Linked DNA regions of Stegostoma tigrinum. The protein of the gene in region 2 interacts with the protein of the main gene of each other region in a pairwise test. Links are inferred from orthologs where the notes say so. Each region holds a gene or a part of one and is shown on either strand. Other genes may lie near its edges.

Region 1 (6,933 bases), on a different chromosome or scaffold from region 2:
TCAGTCACTCCCAGGAAATTAAAACTCTCGAACATTGCTACCTCAGCATCGCTGATGAAAACAGGTCTGTGTCCTCCATTCCACTTTGTGAAGTCAATGACCAGCTTCTTCATTTTGCTGCTGGTGATGGAGAGATTGTTGTCTTTACATATGCTGTTAAGCACTCTATCTCTTTCCTGAATTCAGCCCGCATCCCTCTAAACCCTTCCTGTTCATGTACCCATCCAGATGCCTTTGAAATATTGTAATTGTGCCAGGCTCCACCACCTCCTCTGGCAGCTTATTCCATACATGCACAACTGTCTGTATGAAAAAGTTGCCACTCAGGTCTCTTTTAAATCTTACCCCCCCCCCCCCCCACCTTAAACTTATGGCCTCTAGTTTTGGATTTCCTTACTCTGAGGAAAAAGACATTGGTAATTCTCCCTATCCATGCCCCTAATGGTTTTATAAACTCTATAAGGTCACCCCTCAGTGTACAATAACAGATGAATGGACACTGTGCAACAATCGCCAGACAGGAATCTTCCCTCCCAGTGGCAGAATATTTTAGCAGTCAAGGACATTCAGCCTCTGATCTTTGGGTAAATGTCTTGAAAGTGTTGTGAAGTTGGTGTGAGTAAAATTGTAAAATGTGTCATTCTTTTAAAAGATTGTTGTTTTTCAGTGCTTAGAGTTAAAATGGATGACTGACAAGCACCTTGAAGTGGAGGTGCACACAGAAAGAGCTTCCGAATTGAAACATTTTGTATTAAACAGTCAAGCAGCATGTTTTGAGAAGATTTGTAGCTCAGGTTGAGGTTCTGGATGTGAGATTGCTCGCTGAGCTGGAAGGTTAGTTTTCAGACGTTTGTCAAGCAGCATTTCACCAAGACAACAAGTCTTTTCAAATTTAGCCAATTAATTTAAACTAAGTCCTTAGATACTAAAATATTGTCAAATTTAAATCTGGTGGTGTTGACAGCATCGACCACTTGAGAGAGAGAGAGAGAGAAAGAGAGAGAGAGAAATTGATTGTCAGAATCATCTATGTATTAGATGAAGCACCATCTATCCTAAAACAGTACCACGGCATTTCTAGCTAAAAAAAAACTCACAGAAGCAATTACAGAGAAAAACATCCCTGACAGCAGAATCAGTGAAAGATTAGATTCCCTTCAGTGTGGAAACAGGCCCTTTGGCCCAACAAGTCCACACGAAAGACATTTGTGGCATAATCAGGAAGGCAGAGCGTTCCAGAAGACACAGCTTACACAAACTTGGACAGACTATGTTTTAATTTATTACTGCGTTATTAAGTGGGTTTATATAAGTGGGACTTGTGTTTATTGAATAGCATTCTATTAGAATTTAGTTTATTAAGGGAATAGTTAGTCTGGGGGGAGGGGAATCGTTCAGTTTGTTAGTACTTCTCTTAATTTGTTCATTGTTAGAGTTGAATAAATAACTTTTTTTCTTGTGGATCAGGGATTTTCTTTCTTTTAATCACTCTTTTAACAGAATATGAGGGGAAAGGTGAGCTTCTCTGGGAGTTTTGGGGGTAATTATTAGAAGGGAACCTCTACTCCCATCATAACTGATTGGGGCTTGTGTTTTGGTCTAAATATCAGCAGAGATCAGCCATTCTCCCTCCATAAGAATTCGGGGGCTTGTCTGGGATCTGGATGGACTTGGACAGCTCAATTCTGGCTTCTGGACAAATTTGGACAGATCATGTCCACAATCTGGCTGTTACATGTGGTGGGGGAAGAACCTGAATGGATTTGGACACGTTTAAACAGACTTGGGGATTAATGTCCTAGATCTGTTCCCTGGGATGCTCACTGCAATAAACATCACCTGTACCTGAAGGACCATCAACTCAGTGAAAGCTGCTCTTTGGTTTTTTGCACTCGCCACACGGTGTTTCGCCCATATATCCCACAAAGGACTGTGAGTGGACTCTAAGTAGTGACATGAAATGATCTTTATTAACTATAATACCATAATAACAATTATGCTACAAACTAACAATTAATACAATAAATCTGGCAAGTAATACTGGAAATCTAAATCAGAATCTTGTAATTTAACTTAATTTGGAATGATCAAATATCACCACACTAAACCTTGGCTTTAATACACATGGTGATGGGCATCTGGTCTTCATCTTCCAGTGATTCCAAGGGCAGAGGTGCCCTTACAGCAGTTGGTCTCAGGTTACTGCTCCCAAGGGTGCTGTTGCAGTGATTCTTGTCCTTGGAAGCCTCTGCAACCTTTTGGGAGAATCTTTGATTCCCAGCAATGGATCAATCAAGAATCAATTACCCTGATTGATCAGACCCAATCAGACAGTACCATGCAAATGGTGGTGTGGCCTTTGGTCTTCCATTTCTGAAAGTGTTAGGGGTACATAAATCAGGTAGGCTTCCCAGATATCAGACTGAGGTGTCCCTTTATTCTGGAAACAGCTCATTATTTTCTATTGTCCTGGTAAATAGGCTTAATCAATTGCAAATTGTACCACCTGCAGCTGCAGCCTGCCTGTCTGCGTCTATAGGTTGTTTATTTCAGTATCTTTGCACAGATGCTTCAGCCAATGCTTGGCTTGATTTCCCAGCATGTTTGGTGTATTATCCAATACTGCCATTTTTTAGTGGCCCGTTGGGCTACAGGTACGCACGGACCTTGTTGATCCTGACCGAGTGTTGCAGACTGGCACATTCCAAGGTCCAGGATTATGTGCTGAGGGATGCACACTAAAGCTTGGGGAAGCTGCTGTCAAAGTGTCGTGGGGGAAGAGCATGGTCTGAAGTCTTCCTGCTGAAGATAAATGAGAGTCCATTCAGTTAATGGATCCTCCCAGTGTGCCAAATATTTGTGAATATTGGTATTGTATGTGTGAGCAGTCTTTGAATTTGCGTACAGTCAAACTGCAATGTTTTGTACAGGAACAAAAACAAAGTTGCTGGAGAAGCTCAGTAGGTCTGGCAACATCTGTGAAGGAGAAAACAGAGTTAACGTTTGGGTCCAGTAGGCCACCAGTGACCTACCAGACGCAAAATGTTACCTCTGTTTTGTCCTTCACAGATGCTGCCAGACCTGCTGAACTTTTCCAGCAACTTTTTTTTTGTTCCTGATTTACAGCGTCCGTAGTTCTATTTTTATCCAATGTTTTGTATTTTGTTGACATGCAGCTGTGCAGAACTCCTAAGATGCTGTTTGGCCTGCTGCGTTCATCCAGCTCCACACTTTGCTATCTTGGATTCTCCAGCGTCTGCAGTTCCCATTCTGTCTGAACTGTTTTTGTGTCAGTGTATGTATACAAACTTTATGAATAAAATGTAGCTTTTTGCAATAAAAAAAGAGATTTCACTTAAACATATTGGGCTGTAACCTGGTGTCGTGTGACTTCTGACTAAGGCAGACCTAGTCTATTATTAGAAACGTGAAACCCCTGACCATTACAACCCTTTAACTCTGACTTTGAAAGCATCTATCGCATTTGATTACAGGGAGACTCGGATCCTTTGTTGCGTTAGTCCCTTTAAATAGGCGGAACCAGAGACCGGGGCGGGGTCCGTCTCAGAGGCGTGGTCTATGGCCAGGGCCGGGCCAATGCCGTGGAGGAGAGATCAACGTCGGGGGCGGAGCCAGTGTTCAGGGGCGTGGCCGTCGCACAAGGGACATGATACAGTGACCAAGGGGCGGGCCCTGTATCCAAGGGCGGGGCCAAGCGTTCAGTCTCGGCTTCAGTGCCCATAAGGCGGACCCTACGTCCAAGGGGGCGGACCCTATCTCCTGGAAGCGGGCGGGGTCTGTGTCCATGAGGCCTGGGCTGGCGGTGACGGGGCGGGGCAGTGCGTGTCAATGTGACCGCGGTGCATTCTCCGATTGGTCCGGGGTTTTTCGCGCGGAAGCCGGTCCCACGTGACTCAGTTTGGCGGGAAAGCGGCGGCGGTGAAAATGGCAGCGGTGGAGGATCCGGCTCTGAGGGAGGCTCAGAGACAATATCTGGACTTTCTGGATGATGAGGTGGGGGCTGTGGGGGAATAGGGGTCAACGCCGGCGATGAGTTTGGGGGGGGGTGCGGGGTACTGGGCTGGGTGCCTACCCTACTCCATGGGCATGTGTTTCCTATACCCCTCCCCGGGAGGGTGCGACCACTCGGCCCGTCCGCCTTGTTCACCCTGACCCTTCCACCCCACTTTGCACACCACTCCCCCATTTCGACTCCCCTTACCCAGCCCCTCCCCCATGCCCACTTCCCCTCCCTTATACCCCACACAAACCATCCCCTTCACCCCCCTCCCCGACCCTCATCGCCCCCCCCACTTCCACTCGCCACCTCACCCTCCTCCCCCCGCTACTTGCCGTTCCACTTGCACGCCCCCACCCCATTTCACAACCCTCCACTCACTTCTGTTGTGCTTCAGGTGACCCTTTTGACCGTCTCCTAGCTTGAAGTAAAACAAACAAGTACAGCTGCTGCAGATCTAAGACGAACAGAAACCGAATTTGAAACTCAAAAGGCTGAGTACATCCGTGGGATGAAAGCAGAGTTAATGCGTTGAATCCGGTGACACTTCATCCAGGGCTCCTGCCTTCTGATTTTTATTCCTGTATCCCTTCCCAGTTGCCAAGCAACATCCAGCGGTGTTTACCTGACACCTGCTTCCCTTGGTTCATAATTTGACTCAAAATGAATGTTTGAAATGAAGTATACATGAGTGCACACAAACGAGGAGCAGAGGAGGCCACTCAATCCCTCAATCTGGCTCTGTCTTTCAGCAACATCAATGCTGATCAGATTGCTTTTTTTTCCCGGCTACCTGCATAAACACTTCTTCTCTCCTCGCTTATCAAGTAGCTGTCTATCCCAGCCTCAGAAAGATTCTGAGTTATTCTGTCACCATGCTGAAACCAACATGCAAAGAGACCAGAAATGTAAACAGAGTGTTGAAAAAACTCAGCAGGTCTGGCAGCATTAACATTTTGTGTCTGATATCTTATTCAAGAGAACCTACAGCATGTGATTTGCAGCAGTTTAAGAGGGCAGCTCACCAACACCTTCTCAAGGACCACTAGGGACAGGCAGTAAATGCTGGCCTGGCCAGTAATGCCTATATCTTACAAGTGAATTTCAAAAAAACAGTGGTTCCAAAGATGCTGCCAGACCTGCCACGGTTCAACAGCATTTTGTTTTTATTTTATTAATTGTGCACCTGTTCTTGGGTGAAGCTGCCCCTGACATAACCAAATCAGTCCAACTTGAAAGCGGTCACCTACATCAGAGATGGTTATATCCCTGATGGTGATTTAATCAGTTGCTTTGATAAGCTTTTAAAGAGTAAAGGACCAGTTGAAAGAATTTCGGGCTAAGGTTTTTTGCATTCTTGCCAACAGCAAGACCAGGGGATTTACCAAAGTAAGGTGAGGGACATGATCAGTGACAACTTGTACCGACTGATTGTCAACATCAATGACCTGCGCAGGAAGAATGAGAAAAGAGCGACACAGTAAGTACCTTGCTCAGATAACAAGGTGTGGAGCTGGATGGACACAGCAGGTCAAGCAGCATCAGAGGAGCAGGACAGTTGATGTTTCAGGCCTACACCCTTCTTCAGAAATGCGTCTAGGCCCGAAACATCGGCTTTCCTGCTCCTCTGATGCTGCTTGGCCTGCTGTGTTCATCCAGCTCTACACCTTGTTATCTCAGATTCTCCAGCATCTGCTGTTCCTACTATCTCTGAAACAAGTACCTTGCTCACTTGTCTAACCTGAACCCACTTCACTTCCACAGTCCCCCTTTACTGTATACTGCTCTTGCCTGATGTTAAAAATCTTGCTAAATAGGACTTTAGTGTGCCTGAGCATGCTCTGCTGTTCAGTGCGATAATAATTGATTTTCATTATCAACTGCCACTTTTTCTTATCAGGGTTTCATATTCCATTACTCCATCTCAGTACATAACAAAGCAGTTCATGCTCTCTTGGGCAGCTTTCTGACACTTTTCTCCATGGCATTTAGAAATGGACAATAAATGTTGGCCAAACCAGCAGTGTCCACATCCTGTGAATAGTTAGGGGGGAAGTAAAACAAACTCCAGAGAGACTCAATCCCCTGAGTGAGGAACTTTCTCATCTGTTTGAAACATATTTTAAATGTGCTCGAGGTGGCGGAATGATCATGAAGTGTATGTTGTTGGATTGATATGGATGTTCCAATCTCTTGTTCCAAGAGAGGTACAGCACCCCTGGAGACAATTCAGCCCCTGCTCTTTAAAGGATCAATCCATTAAGCCACAGTAGTCAGCTCTGTCACCACCATCCTGCAAACATTGAATAGATATCTTTTTGGAGCTATCACTGAATCTGTAGGCATCACCTTTGAGTGCATTCCACGTCAAAGCTCACTTTTCTCTTAAAAGAAACCTCCTCATGTGCCCTTGGTTCTTTTATCATTCTAAATCTGTCATCTCTTGTTACTGACCCTTACTTCCCTCACCACTGGGGGTTGAGGTAGTATATCTTTAACATTTGAAAACCTGTTGCAGATACACTGAGCCAGTTAACCTTTGTCTAATTTTCTCAGACTGCTGAGCAATTCCTTTGAAGAACTCCTGGCCTTCCAGCGAGCGCTAAAGGACTTTGTTGCCTCAATTGATGCCACCTATGCCAAGCAATTTGAGGATTTCTACATTGGACTGGAAGGCAGCTTTGGATCCAACCATGTCAGCCCACGGACCTTGACCTCTCGGTTTCTCAGCAACGTTGTGTGTGTGGAGGGAATTGTGATCAAATGTGAGTCTGATTGGGTGAGACTGGGTGCTGCTCTGTGTTTGCATTTTGTTTTGTTCGTGACTTCGGCGAACACTCCTTGCAGTTGGTTCTCATTGATTGAGGAAAATGAGGTTGTTAATAGACAGCTTGTAACTTAATGGTGTATTGTGA
Region 2 (7,800 bases):
CTTTGCCATTCAATGAGATCACGACTGACCTGAAAATCCTCAACTCAATTGTCCTGCCATTTCTCCATAACATTTGATTTCCTTCATGATTGTAAATCTATTAACACTTCTCATTAGCCATCCAACCCACTTTCAACATATTCATACAACAGTGGAGAGAAAACAGAGTTAATGTTTTCAAGTCTAGTGACCCTTCTGCGGAAAAGTTCCTCACCTCTCTCCTCAAGGGACAATCCTTTGCTTCAAGATCATACTCTCCAATCTTGAATCTTCTATACAGACAAGCAACCTCTCAGCATCTACCATGTCAAGACCTCTAAGAATCTTTTATGTTTCAATCAGATCACCTCTCATCTTAACTCCAAATAAAGTTCCAACTGAATCAAGATCTCCTCCGTATGCGGTATCAGCTTAGTGAACCTTCCCTGGACTACTTCCAATGCCAGTATATCTTTCCTTAGATAAGCAGGGCAAAACTATTCCGTATTCCAGGTTTGGTCTGACACATGCTTTGCATAGTTTTAGTAAGACTTCCCTAGTTTTATACTTTATTCTCTTTGAATTAAAAGGCCAACGTTCTATATTGTTCTCCTATCATCTGAAATTGACTGCTACGTTCTTGTGATTAATTCACAAGGCCTCCCAAATCCTTTTGATCCATAGCTTTCTGCTGTCTTTCTTCATTAAAATGATATTATTAACCTCCTGTATTCCTGCTACAAAAATGCGCAAACTCACATTTCCCCATATTATATCCCATCTACCAAGTTTTTGCTCACTCACGTAACCTGACTGTATTAATCTAATATTTTTCCAACTAACAAATGTAAAGCTAATTCTCTAAAGTTACCATTTTTTGTCTCCTTCCCTTTTTGAATAAACATATTACAATGGCAGTTTGCTTTTCCAGCATTTCTTGATTCCTGGAAGACTGCTATCAGTGCTATAAGATGTCATAGATCATAAAATCACTACAGTGTGGAAGCAGGCTCTTCAGCCCAACAAGTCCACACCCACCCTTGAAGCAACCCACCCAGATCCATTTCCCTAAGCTGCACATCCCTGAGCACTACAGGCTATTTAGCATGGCCAATCCACCTAGCCTGCACACTTTCGGACTGTGGGAGGAAACCGGAGTACCCGGAGGAAACCCATGCAGACAGGGGGATAATGTGCAAACTCCACACAGACAGTCAGCCAAGGCTGGAATTGAGCCCGAGTCCCCGGCACCATGAGGCAGAAATGCTAGCCACTGAGCCACCATGCCATCCCACATTGTACTTCTTTTCTATCTTCCTTTTATTTCTGAATATTAGGTAATATTGGAATGCTGTTTATGTCTTTTGCCCTGAAGACTGATGGAAAGTATTTATTCAATTTATTTGTCGTTTCCTGATTTCCTATTAATATTTCCACAGTCTGAACTCTCTAAGGGGGCCTATGTTCATATAGAAGCTTATTTTGTGGTCATGCCTTAAGCTCCTAAATTCAGCTGATACTGCACTGTACTGCTCTGCTGAGCTCCAGCTGCATTGTAAATGAGACACTAAAAGACATGCCCATTTTGGTTTGTGGTTTGAGGAGAGGCAGGGCGGAAATAGCAAAGAATTTCTATCCCAGAAATTTCTAAGAACACAGTTCCACTTCGCGCCATTTTGAATTTTGCTCCAACTGAAGTAGCTTCACTGAATCAAAACAGGAAAGATCTTACAATCGAAAGAAAATCCATTTGTACAAGGAAATGTCTTTATCTCAAAAATGACATCTCCCCACACATTTCTACTCACCATCTCTAACTCTCTTCTTTGGTTCTTCTTTTCTCAATCGCGCAGGCCACTCTAAAGGGATGCTTGTCTCAGACAGCAGCTTTAACTTTTCAATCGTTTCACTTTCTGAAGATGTGCTGACTCTTTTAGACTCCCTCCTACTGCCCTTCAACACATCTTGAAGAGTGCGACTGAAGACGCCCAGTGATGGCGTAACTTTCGACAGCCGTTTCCTTGGAGACGGACTGTGTTTGGGCACTGAGGCTGGTTCTTTACCAGGACTGTATTCAAACTGGTATGGTGATCTGTCTCGCTTGTCTTTCCTTTTCATCCCCTTCCTGGGCGTCAGCTGTCCCGCCTGCCCCTCGTGCTTCGAAGTGAGCCCAAACGTTGCTGGGGTTGCAGTGGCTGCCGTTGCACTGCGTCTCCCTTCACGACAGCCCTGCGGTGTTGTATCAGTCCCTCCGAAGCTTGGCTTCAGAGTTTGTTTTTCTTCGCAAGCTACTTTCTTGTTGGATGCAGAGTGACCGAGCGAGGGGGACGAGCTCGGTTGAGAAAAGGTGTATGGGGTTGAGCTGCTGCCGGGGCTGGGATGGACGAAACGGAAACCTCCGGAAGCACTGGTCATAGCCGCCGGCTGCGAAAAGCTAAAGGTGCTGGGCAAACTGACAGTGGCCGTCGGCCGGAGCATCCTGTAGAGGCCAGAAGAAGTCCCACTGTTGGTCGGTTGGGAGAAGCTGAAGGAGGGGCCGCCTACGGACTGTGGAGCGGTGAGGAGGGCCGTTTCCCCGCTGCTCAGCGGCTGCGAGAAGTGAAACGAGGGCCGCTTGTTGGACGGCAGTTTGTTGTCTAGCCCTCCAACCCGCGGCCTTGGGGCGTCCGGCTTCCCAAACCCTCGGAAGCAGCTCTCGGCCGGTCCAAACGCGGGGCCCATCGGGGCGCCGAAGTTTACAGAAGCCGGAAAGGTGCCGTGAGGTTTAAAGCTAAAGGAGGGACCAAGGATGGATGGAGCCCGTGGACCTCCCACCTCCCCCGCCTTGGAGAAAGGAGCATCCTGCTGGCCCTGAAAACCGCTGTCCCCTTTCTGGAAGAAGGGGGGAGGGGGAAAGTTGCCCGCGGGATCCATGGCACCACCCTCAGTGAATCAGCTCTTCTAAGTGCGCCTGGCTTCAAACATCAAACACGAAACCCCAGATCCCAGCAATGAAACTCACTACACCGCCACCATTACCGCTCAGCATAAACACCGTCCGTTTCCTCTTCCTTCCCTTCCGGTCACCTTCCCCGGAACAAAAAAAAATGCAGGTGCAGCTATTTCTCGTCTTCCTTTCCGGTCCGACTGATTCAGGTTGCCATGGAGAATCCAGGCCCAGATGGCGCTGGTGATCAGGAACGCACAGAAAGTGGTGCAGCTTCGTAGGGCCCGGCTCCGGCGGGACACTCAAACCTTGCTCCACATTCTGGGCCTCGCACGATTCGACCTGGGTCTGATCTGTGTGGACGACCAGCGGATACAGACCTTGAACGGGCGGTACCGGGGGCAGGAGGTGGCTACGGATGTACTGTCCTTTCCTGTCCATCAGGTAACGGGTACTGGGATGTGGGCTCCTCTCCCTGTCCTGATCCCGCGAACTCCAAACTGTCAGTTGGATCCCACAACCAAGCCCGAGGGAGATCTCTTTAGGAGAAAGGCCAGCCACGTGGAAGGTTCAATCTCTCTCTTCTATCCTCCTTCCCCAAAACAGAGACTGCCTGACCAACTCCAGCATTCTCTCTGAATGGAAAACTGTGTCTTTGTCCTCGGGGTGCACTGTCTGAACTTGATCACTGTGTCTATATTATATGTAGCACTGAGTACTGTTTAAACTGAATTGAAATTGATGGAAGCATTCATGTTTTAAAATACTTCCAAATTTCAACTGTTTCAACTACGTGTGGACAGTATGTTTTGTAAAAAGAATGTATTATCCCAGTTTTTAAGATACTCAGATAAGTTTAAGATGAGGTGAATGGTTGCTAAATTTCCTGATAACACCAAAATAGGGAATAAAAAGTTGTGAACCTCATAATCGGCCGTAAAAGGACGTAGACAGGTTATCAGAGTGGACAAAAATAGCAGATGACATCTAATGTGAGATAAAGTGAATGTATTCACTTTGGTAAGCAGTAGAGAAAAACAGCATCCTATTTAAATGTATTAAAGATTGCAGAGCTCTGAGGTACAGAGCAATCCAGGTATCTTAGTACATGAATTCCAAACGTTGGTACGTGGTATGGTAAATGACTGGGAAGGCAAATGGAATGTTGTCATTTATTGCAAGCAGGATGGAACATATAAAAGTTGGGACCTTTTTATTAAAGTTATGCAAGGCATTGTGAGAGACCACATGAGATAGGAGTGTTAACCTCTAGTAAGAAATCCTGCAAAATTGCTGGAAACAAGAGTTTAGAGAACTTGTATGTTTGTTAAAATAATAGTGAATTTAGTTTGCAGTTTGTTTCAGGTGTCTTGGGGAGAGATACCTACTGAAGAAATAGCATTTAGTTAATGCACTGAAATTTGGCAGAAGGAAACTGAATGTGTCAGCCTTATCAAGAGACTTGGATGTAAAGACAGTAATAAGTCTGAGTGTCCTAATGCAGCTTTGTTTGTGGACAAACGCAACATATTAGAAGAGGTCTGCCACCTCATCAACAGAGTGTTTACAGGGATTAAATTCACAAAGGAAGAAAAAGCAAACAATCAACTTCCATTTCTGAATGTTAAGGTAGAACGACCGACAAATGCGGAGTTCCAAACCTCAGTATACAGAAAAGCAACCCATACAGATCAAATCCTCAACTATCACAGCAACCACCCCAATGTCCACAAATAAAGCTGCATTAGGACACAGTTTAAATGGATCAGGATACAGTGTAACACTCCAAAACTATGCCCGGAAGAAGAAGAACACTTATACAAGATCCTCGCTTCAAATGAATTGTCCCTGCAACTTCAGCCACAGATGCCTACATAACTGACAGCAACAGGAGAACACAGTATGACCTAACACACTTACCACACTTTCCTAAATCAGAAACATATCGGAACTGACAACAAGACTCCTAAGACCACTAGGAATCATGGTGGCCCACAGCCACTCTCCGACACTTAGAAGAATTAAAGACCCCATTCCCACAACCTACAGAACAAACATGGTTTACAAAATACCATGCAATGACTGCCACAAACATTACATAGGACAGACAGGAAGGAAACCAGCCATCAGAACACACAAACATCAGCTGGCAGAAAAACAGCACAATAAACTCTCCTTAATGTCTGTACATGCAGACAACGAAGGCCATCAGTTGAAGTGGGCATGCACGGGAATTCCTAGATGCATGGTCCTCCGCCCATACTTCAATCAACAAGTGTATAGAATTGGACCCCATATATAAACCCGTACAGATCAAAACCAGAAATGACAGTACTCACCATAATGGACCAGATAGTATAAATTTCAAGCAGAGTAGAATAACAGCGCTTCATTGGAGTCTCCACTGATGATGTCACCCAGCATGGTGACAAAACATCAGAACAAAAACAAACCAGCTCGACAAGCAAGTCAACAACCTCATAAAAAGAAACTAGTGTGAGCTTGAATCCTTTTCAGTATATGGAATGAAATCATTCCAAACTTCTTTTTTATATATTTTAGTTTGTGTTTTTTCTTGTTTTAATAAACCTTTTATTCTTTGTGTTAAGACTACAGTTGCAAATTGTTATCACTGTTCAGCAACTGACATCCACAAATTAAAAATACATGTTGGACCGGTTAAGCTCTGGGATCTGACTTGTCCAATATTAACATCAGCTGGGACCATAACAATACAATTTCATTCATTCTAGAATGGAGGGGTTGTCTTTGAGAAAGAGTTTGACCATTCTGGGCCTGTATCTATTGGAGTTTTGAGGAATTAGAGGTGATTTTGTTGAAATATATAAGATCCAAAGGAGGTTTGACAAGTAGATTCTACAACAGTGTTTCTGTTTGTGGGAGAGACTACAGCTAGGAGACAGTTTTAAAACAAGGTTCTCCCCTTTATTTGATTTATTTATTTATTGTCTTGTTTTTTGTTACAGAATACAATGAAAAGTGTCATATAGTATCATCATTAGGACAGGTGGGGAGAATGGTTTTCCCTTAGGGTCATAGTTTGAAATTACCTTTCCAAAAGACCAGTAGGATCAGGATTATTGAATATTTGTAAGGCAGAGATAGATTCTGGACTGAAGAGCGAGTCAAAAGGTTACCTAATTAAAAACTCCCTATATCACTTCTGTTATGAGGTTGGTTAGCTCGCCGAGCTGGTTTGTTGTTCCACAGACATTTTGTTACCCTGCTGGGTAACATCCTCAGTGCAGCCTCTGATGAAGCGTAGGTGTGTTTTCCCACCTGGTTTTTAAACTCTGGGGTCCGTTGCGAGCAACAGATCTACTCCAAAACCTTAGATATTTCTGTTTACTAGCTAATCAAGCTGTTGGGATGAATCATGAGTTTTGGAACCTTTTAGCCAGTATTGTTTGGTCTGCTGTTAATTTAGGTTCATTATTGCTGCAAAAAGGGAGTTTCGGATAGTGTAAATTAGGCAATTTCAGAAAGATGACGCGAGAACCTTTCACATTGTTTCAAACAAATTTAATATAATTTGAATTGAGAGGTAGATTAGCTTTCCACTTCAGGTTCTCAGTGAAGTAATCACCCATGACTTCCACCCGTCCAGGCAAATGGAGAGTACTCCATTACACTCCTGACTTGTGCTTTGGGAGATGGAGAACATATAGAACATAGAAAAGTACAGCACAGTACAGGCCCTTTGGCCCACGATGTTGTGCCGTGGAATAATCCTAATCCAAAAATAAAATAACCTAACCTACATTCCCCTCAATTCACTGCTGTCCATGTGCATGTCCAGCAGTCGCTTAAATGTCACTAATGACTCTGCTTCCACGACTACCACTGGTAAACTATTCCATGCGCTCACAACTCTCTGGGTGAAGAACCTCCTTCTGACATCTCCTCTATACCTTCCTCCTAACACCTTAAAACTATGACCCCTCGTGGCAGTCAATCCTGCCCTGGGGAAAAGTCTCTGACTATCGACTCTGTCCATGCCTCTCGTTACCTTGTACACCTCGATCAAGGGAGCTATGCACTTGAACACCAAGATCCCGCTGTTCCTCCACACTGCTGAGAATCCTGCCTTTAATCCTATATTCAGCATTTAAGTTCGACCTTCCAAAATTCATCACTTGGCATTTATCCAGGTTGAACTCCATCTGCCATTTCTCAGCCCAGCTCTGCATTCTGTCAATGTCTTGCTAAAGCCTGCAATAGCTCTCGATACTATCAACGGCACCTCCAACCTTTGTGCCATCAGCAAACATACTAACCCACCCTTCAACCTCCTCATCCAAGTCATTTATAAAAACTACAAAGAGCAGAGGCCCAAGAACAGAGCCCTGTGGGACACCACTCAGCACTGACCTCCAGGCAGAATACTTACCACCTAAAACCACTCTCTGCCTCCTGTCAGCCAACCAATTCTGAATCCAGACAGCCAAATCACCCTGTATCCCATAGCTCCTGACTTTATGAATGAAGTGGTATGAAGATATTGGGAGTCAAGAGGCAAATTACTTGCTGCAGAATACTTGGCCTTTACGTTGCTGTGTGGCTTTTGTATTAGTGTAGATGGTCCTGTTCAGTTTCTGGTCAATAGCAACCTCCAGGATGTTGATTGTTGGGTATTCAATGATAGTAATACATTGAATGTAAAAAAAGAGATGGTTCTTTCTTGTTGGAGATGGACAATACCTGAAACTTGTGTGGCATGAATGTTACTTTCCATGACAAAACCAACGTCTGCTTGTTGTCTTGATCTTGTTACACATGGACATAGATTATTTTATAATTATGGAGGAATTATGAACACTGCAATCATCAACAAATAGCTCCATTTCTGACCTTACCATAGAGTGAAACTCATA

What was found. The genes of interacting proteins can lie anywhere in the genome.
Region 1: the proteins of mcm3ap (region 2) and mcm3 interact in a two-hybrid assay, tested with the Homo sapiens proteins (2 studies listed by BioGRID). The link is inferred for Stegostoma tigrinum from reciprocal best matches to the Homo sapiens genes MCM3AP and MCM3.

Annotation. Positions count from the first base shown.
Region 1 is NC_081362.1:96,838,707-96,845,639, forward strand, and holds the start of mcm3 (DNA replication licensing factor MCM3), read left to right. Parts: upstream 1-3,904; 5' UTR 3,905-3,945; coding exon 3,946-4,014; intron 4,015-5,385; coding exon 5,386-5,498; intron 5,499-6,574; coding exon 6,575-6,783; intron 6,784-6,933. UniProt on the Homo sapiens protein: Acts as a component of the MCM2-7 complex (MCM complex) which is the replicative helicase essential for 'once per cell cycle' DNA replication initiation and elongation in eukaryotic cells.
Region 2 is NC_081360.1:6,017,111-6,024,910, forward strand, and holds the start of mcm3ap (germinal-center associated nuclear protein), read right to left. Parts: upstream 3,091-7,800; 5' UTR 2,893-3,090; coding exon 1,788-2,892; intron 1-1,787. Other genes in the region: endoribonuclease YbeY-like, read left to right, coding at 3,140-3,349.